2 linked regions of the Tribolium castaneum genome follow. The protein of the gene in region 2 purifies or fractionates together with the protein of the main gene of each other region. This does not show direct contact. Links are inferred from orthologs where the notes say so. Each region holds a gene or a part of one and is shown on either strand. Other genes may lie near its edges.

Region 1 (3,754 bases), on a different chromosome or scaffold from region 2:
AAAAATGTCAGTAAATCCGCTATAAAATAAATAAACAAATATTTTGCCAAACACATAATTTCGTACTGGATTTCATATGAAATCAAAATACAGTAGAGTCCTGCTATAACGAACCCGGTTATAACGATCTTCCGGATATAACGAACTAGATTTGATTTGAAATGTGATGCAATTCCCGTTCATAACAAACTTTTAGGTACATTTAACAAATTTTTACATTTTTATTTTTTTTTGTGTCAGGACTTGTTTTCCTGTTGTAGTTTTTGCTAATTTTAAGTCAGTGTAAAAGAATTTGAAGAACTAAGCTCAGAGATCAGACCAAATCTCTCATACATTTCTTCCGAATCTATAACTGTTTCGTAAGGGATTCAAGTTTTTGTTTACAATAGGACGTGTACTTATTTATTTCGTTTTATTTCACATGTAAAGTAAAAATAACTGCTAAAACGACACTTTTTTATTACCGCTTATGGCAAACCTCGGATACAACAAACTGAATTTGATGCATTTTCGGACACCACTGTAGTACTAATAAAAATATGTTCCCAAAAATTTTAAATTTGTAATAATCCCTTCAAGAGTTTACAAAAATTTCTCTTGTCATCAAACCATAGATAAGAGCGTTTTTCAGGTTGATAAGGTCGAGATAAAGAATATACAGTCTGCTTTTTTATTTCTATTGTTTATTGTTATAGGATTATTTCGTCAAATTTCAAAAAAACTTAAAATAAATGGATTTATCATGTACCATGTTTTATTTTCAATTTTCACTCAGTTTTGAGGAGAGAAAAGAAAAAAAATATTAATCACTTCTGATACAATTAATTATAAGTTATACTTACCATGTACTTAAAATTGGCTGTTTAAGTTGGCAACAAAATTTTAAGAGGAATACTGCAACCGGATATTATTTTTATTTGTTCAGCATATACATGTTTCGTAACAAGTTTGCGGCTTATCTTTCTATTTACTTTAACTAAAGGGAAGTACATCTTAAATTCAGTAATGCCAACTCAAACTATCGTTCTTGGTCACTGTTTTTTATTTTCACCAAATTGCCGAACACAACACAAAAAATCTACGATAATTTACTACATACGAAGTGATCCAAAATGACTTTCTGTTGACTTGAAAGTATGTTTGCTAACAGTTTGCAACACTGTACCCAGATAATAAGGCTTTCCTTGGCAAATATTTAACGTAAAATTGTTAACCGGAGGTAAAGTTCGATGGTGCCATCTAAAAAAAATTCAGAATCTCCAACTGAAAATGTCATTCTGGACTTTGTCGCAAGTGCGATTACGTCGTCAAAGATTTTAAAATTTAAATGGCAAGCATCCAAAAAGGACAACTAAAATTAACATAAAAACAATACATGACTTATCATGTTGTATCACTGGAAAACCCGAAATCTCAGTATTAACATCAAATCCTGTTGCAACACTCAAAAAGCGTATTTTTTTTAATAACTAGGTAGGTAATTCGATTTGAATAAACGGACATACCAGTGGTTATACTCTCAGAATTTATAAAACCACGAGGTCGGGTTCTGGTCAAGATTTTTAATGATGTAAGGAAACCTTATTAGGCGTTCTTTGATCCGACTTGCACTCGTTGAAATACGATTTATTTCGCGTGCAGGAAAACATTGAAACCAATTATCATTTTAGCACTTAGCACAATTTTAGCACTAGTAAATTTGGACGTCCAATAGATTTTCAAAGTTGCCAGTCAAGATTACATCCTCTCCACTGGCTTCGCAATACTTCGCATACAGAAATAAAATTATTACAAAATGCAACTCAATACAGGGGATAATTTTAAACCTAGAATCTCGCAATGTTTTTTAAACACGGTTTCGGACGTGAATTATTTAAAAATCTTGTTAGAAGATACATTATCTTGAAAACACATTTTTAATTGTCACGTACGTGTTAAAATTAGAAAACTTGTAATATTTTCTGCTTGTCTGGGAAGTCATAATAGGAAGGAATTTCAAAGCTAAATAAAAATATATATTTACTCAAGGTAGGTGGGTGCTCCACAAATATACCAGAAGAGTGTCATCGTGTAAATAATTATTAGTATTACTTTTTTCTCATTTATATTTTGGGAATAAACCAATTATGTTATTGTGTTAATTGAAATTTGCCAAATTAATTTAACTTTTACAAATGATTAAAAATAATAAAAATGTATGGCGCTACGTCACAATCGACCTTTTATCAACGATAATTTATAACCTTTGATAAATAAAAGTAAGTATGTTCTTGTGACTAAACAGTCTGCGTTACATTTTATTTATTTTTCGTCGACAAATTTTGTTAAAAGGAAGTTTTGAATAAATTTAAATGTGCTATACATCATTTAACCTTGGTGAAATAAAAACCTGGCAAGACAAGCAATAATGCTACCTCAACAAACCAATTCAGAACGTGAATTAAGCATTCGATATTAATCATCTAATTGTTGAATGATTTATTTAAAAAAAAAAGAAAAAATATTTGACTTACTTTTTTTGTGTTTCCAAGACTGTAGAATGTTTACATTGCCACAGTTTTATCCAAATAAGAAATTTATGTTAATTTTTCAACCCACGATGTTTCTTTCAAACCACACAACACAAAATATCTCACTACAGCTTGTCGGTTGCGCACTGACGGAGGAACGGATTAAATTTCTAACATACGCGTGCTCTTGCATCACGTGACTAGTTGATGGGTAGGACGAACCGCAACAATGGGTTTATGACCATGGGAGTGATTTTCGGATACACTTCCGTCAATAAAACAAATGGACAAAGTCTAAAAAATAATATATTTCTCAAAAACTACAATAAAATAAATCAAACAGTTCAATAATAAAACAAAGTGGAACAATAGCAGCGTGGCGGCACAGATATGGCTTCATTTTTAAGCGGCAGCTGAAAATATGATAACGGATTACACTATCAGATAACGTGAATTTTCGATTTTTACCTTCAATGATAGGAGTAGCTGATGCTTCAACTGGCGGCACCTCAGTTTCAGTTTCAGCGGCAGGTTCAGCAGGGGCAGTTTCAGCAGGAGCGGCTTCAGCAGCCGGCGCAGCTTCAGCTGGTGGTGCTTCAGCAGGAGGTGTTTCCGCCGGCACTGCTGGTGTTTCCGCTGTTGCAGCTGCAGGGGGCGCTTCCGCTGGAGCTCCCTCAACAGGAGCGGCCGGAGCTTCCGCAGCAGGAGCGGCTGGAGCCTCTCCGGCAGGAACGGCAGGAGCCTCTCCAGCAGGAGCTGCTGGTGTTTCGCCTTCTGTCGCCGGAGCTGCTGCAGCTTTAGAAAATGTAAATAGTAACAGGAATTGGCAGTTTTTTAAATGAGAGACGATGGTGGTGTGCTTGATGATGGCGTGATCATGAAGCACTTACCACTCTGTTTCAGTTTGTCCAAAAGTTGATCGAAATTCAACTGAGGCTCTTCCGGATTATCGGCTGTCAAATCAACAACTTTATATTTAAGCGAATTTTTTATGTACAAAACCACGCCGTCGCCACTATTCTTACGGTTCTCTACTAAAGAATAATTGGGGATAGAAACTACTTCTTTGTTTTCAGTGGGGGCTAGGACTGTTTCGGGTAAAGCAATAATATCGTAATTTTCGTGTATTACAAGTTGTTTAAATGTCTCGAATCCTGAAATGAGCAGCAACATCATTGTTGTAAGGTGACCTGGGTCACCTTAGATACTCACCGCCGGTGGGCTCTTCCGGTTTGGGGGCTTCG
Region 2 (3,654 bases):
TCGAAACGTAGGGGCAGAGAGACGGATTGGTTTTCTTGGAAAGGGTTCCCCAGGTTGCAGATGACCACAGTTGTGCCATTTGAAGTGCAAATTGTGTTGCCCTAAATATTTTTTTAATAATAATAATAATAATAATGAATTAAACACTTAAACACACCGATTTATTTTGGCTTTGGAGCGCCACGTAGCTCAGACTTTCCGGATGTATTACGAAAAGTCGCGCTTCGTAGGCCGATTCGCCCTCATTTGCGACATTGGCCTCCAAAATGAGTTCCTTCTCCACCCCCAGATTGAACAAATAGTGACCCTCGGGTGTTTCTGTTTGAAAAAAAAACAATTTTTCTTTCACACAATTGAGTGAATAAAACCAACCGTTAAGTGCCAATGGACGTGCATTTAGAATCAATTTGCTCCTGCAAATGTCATCCGGGCCGCAGTTTTTCTGGAACGTGGCTTCGAAAGTCTTGATTGAAGTTTTATTCAAAATTGGTGAATCCACATCGTCTTTATAAATCGTGTAGTTTACTTGGAACTAAAAATATTTTCCTGTTTACATTTTCAAGTCTTGCGGGACGATTTATTTATTACCGAAATGGGCGAGAGAATATCGCCGTTTCCTTCAATAAGATAGGCCGTTTCGCTGGTGCAATATTCACGTGAGATATCCGTAACTGTGATCATTTTTGTGACAAATGTGTCGTTGCCGATTGTTACACGTGGTGCTTTCTTCGGCAATTCCTTGATTTCGTAGCGAATGTCGATGTCCTTAGTTAGGCGAAATTTGCGGAATTTGAAACAAGTCTTGAACGAAAAACTGAAAAATCGTGTTAGAAAAACAGCTCAACAGTTATTCTAGTTCAAAATTTCTTTGCTTTGGAACAAGTAAACGTGCTTAACACAGAGGGAAAATGTCATATTCTGACTTAAAAGAAAAATTTGTGTTAATGTTGGGTTGAAAACGCCATATTTTAGACGATTCTTTGCTTAGAAATGAGAAAACTTTAATAAAACACACTGAAAACGCCTTATTTTGGCTCAAAAGGACAAACTATATGTTATAGTTTGGGTGAAAACGGCTTATTTCGAACAATTCTTTGCTTAGAAATGAGAAAACTTTAATAAAACACACTGAAAACGCCTTATTTTGGCTCAAAAGGACAAACTATATGTTATAGTTTGGGTGAAAACGGCTTATTTCGAACAATTCTTTGCTTAGAAATGAGAAAACTTTAATAAAACACACTGAAAACGCCTTATTTTGGCTCAAAAGGACAAACTATATGTTATAGTTTGGGTGAAAACGGCTTATTTCGAACAATTCTTTGCTTCGAAATGAGAAAACTTTAATAAAACACACTGAAAACGCCTTATTTTGCCTCAAAAGGACAAACTATGTGTTATAGTTTGGGTGAAAACGGCTTATTTCGAACAATTCTTTGCTTAGAAATGAGAAAACTTTAATAAAACACACTGAAAACGCCTTATTTTGCCTCAAAAGGACAAACTATATGTTATAGTTTGGGTGAAAACGGCTTATCTCAGACGATTTTTTGCTTAGAAACGAGTAAACTTTCATAAAACAAACTTCATTCATTTTCGAGAAATATTCTTTGTGTTTTTTTGCCACAATAATTACTGAAAAAAAATTCTTTAAACTTACCAAGTTTTGTCGCTGTGCGGATCCTCCCGACATCCCTTCTTGGACGCATTAATATTCCTCAACTCATCCCCCACCACCCTAATCCCAATATCAATAATGGGCCTAGTTTTGAACAAAATAACCCGTTCGGAGTCATACAGCCCCACTAACAAATCGGGATAATCATTCAAGTCCATATCCATGCCACCACTCAACGAATAGCCCACAGTTTTAAGTCCTTCCCTTTCCCCAAACTTGATAATTTGCGAGGGTTCGCTTCTCAGCCCCCCTTTCTGGCCCAGATAAATGTAAACAGCCCCGGTATTGTCCTCATACGGGGCCCCAATTGCCACGTCAATAAAACCGTCCTTATTTATATCGCCAAGTGCAGTCATCGAAAAACCGAACCTTGACTCAGCTTTGCCTGTGAAAATCTGACTGGGGGCGCACTTATCTCTCGTACAGTTGCGCAAATTGTTGTAAATGTAGACGGCGCCCCCGTGGTCTTTGTCGTAGTAAAAGGGGGCTGCCACGAGCAGTTCATCGTAGCCGTCTTGTTCAAAATCCACGGCCAAAATTTCGTAACCGAAGCTGGACCCGAACTGCGTCCCGTTGATTATCAGGCGAATGTTGAGCTGTTCCTCTGATTTGGTTTTATTGAAGAAAAAGACTTGTCCGCTTAGGTTGGAGCGTGAGGCTCCCGAGACGTAAGTTAGGGTTTTTTTCGAGAAAAAGTGGCCCCCGGTTACGCTCATTCCGAGGTAGCTGTACTTGGCTATGGGGGTGTCTTGGTCGTTTAGGGGGCCTCTGTAGACGGTCTTGTCCCGTTCGAGGAAACTACCGACTACATTTTTGGCAAAAATTGTCCCGCGCCAAGTGTAAGGCCCGGGGGATCCCATTAACACGAAGTCGTCGGAGAGGAAGGCGAGACTTGTGCCCACTTGGCAATAACCGTACTGTTGATGCAATCTAGAGAGGGAAATAATTTTTTTAACACACAACAGTCAGGGGGCAGTTTTTATGTCCAAAGCACATTATTTTTGCAAGTTCTGAGGACATTTTTAGACCAAAAATTTACTCAAAAAAAACTCAATTATTGCGCAAAATTTCTTAAAAAGCAGAAAAATTAGTTACTTTTCTACGGGCCGGCCTTTGCACGGCTCCAGGGCGTCCTCCACGTTCAGCTCGTTGTTCAGCAGGTAGCAGAGCCCGTATCCATAGTGGTGTGAAGTCAAGTTCGGGCTCTGGATGTACCTGTGTGCACAAACCACCACTTTTCCGCCCGGTTTTTGCGACTTGACTGTTACTCCCAGCCACTGATTATCCTTGATTTCGTCGTTTGACGGTGGCGAAAGCACTGCTTCGTTTCTCGTTGACGGTGTGTCCTCATAGTCGAAAACATTGACTAAAAAAAATCAATCAGTCCGTGTTTCTCCTTTCGTAGTTATAGTGTTAGTAAGATGCACAAAATCTGAACAACGGTTTCAAAATGGTTTGAAACTTGGAGTTAGTAAAAAAAATCATATCAAACGTGTACTACAGGCCGAGGCCCTTTTGCTGTACAATGCTGCTATTTACATGTATTTTTTTGTATAAAAATGAAGCTGAGGATGATGCGAAAACACACACTTCAAATTATTGTCATCGAAAAACGCTCAAGTACCACAAAAATAGGTGGTCTCTCGGGGTTATTACATTAATGTTGTGTTATTCATTAATTTCAAATAAGCCGAAGAACCCAAAGGACTACAGCATTAAATATTCGCGACTTTTCTCAAATCATGTTTCACGTCGTTTTTGACACAACAGCACAATTATTATTTTTTATTTTAATTTTTCTATGCCTTTTCAACCCTTTCCAGTTCTGAAAAGTGCAAGAAAATCAATTGCTTCGATTTTTTTATGTTTGATTTTTGCAATTTTTGTCGCGATTTTGGTCGATTTCCGGGTGTCCGGATCATTTATCGAGCAATAACTCCGGAACTATTAGAGATAACCCTATGAAGTGTATTATC

What was found. Proteins that work in one complex are often made in the same cells at the same time.
Region 1: the proteins of integrin alpha-PS1 (region 2) and CD151 antigen purify together in Homo sapiens (co-immunoprecipitation; 3 studies listed by BioGRID and IntAct, with this or other methods). This does not show direct contact. The link is inferred for Tribolium castaneum from reciprocal best matches to the Homo sapiens genes ITGA6 and CD151.

Annotation. Positions count from the first base shown.
Region 1 is NC_087402.1:7,270,992-7,274,745, reverse strand, and holds the start of CD151 antigen, read right to left. Parts: upstream 2,668-3,754; 5' UTR 2,514-2,667; intron 1-2,513. Other genes in the region: wupA (tropomyosin-1, isoforms 33/34), read right to left, coding at 2,913-2,923, 2,979-3,305, 3,401-3,664, 3,723-3,754. UniProt on the Homo sapiens protein: Structural component of specialized membrane microdomains known as tetraspanin-enriched microdomains (TERMs), which act as platforms for receptor clustering and signaling.
Region 2 is NC_087399.1:982,023-985,676, forward strand, and holds part of integrin alpha-PS1, read right to left. Parts: intron 3,045-3,654; coding exon 2,774-3,044; intron 2,609-2,773; coding exon 1,661-2,608; intron 815-1,660; coding exon 589-814; intron 533-588; coding exon 373-532; intron 319-372; coding exon 158-318; intron 102-157; coding exon 1-101. UniProt on the Homo sapiens protein: Integrin alpha-6/beta-1 (ITGA6:ITGB1) is a receptor for laminin on platelets. Integrin alpha-6/beta-1 (ITGA6:ITGB1) is present in oocytes and is involved in sperm-egg fusion.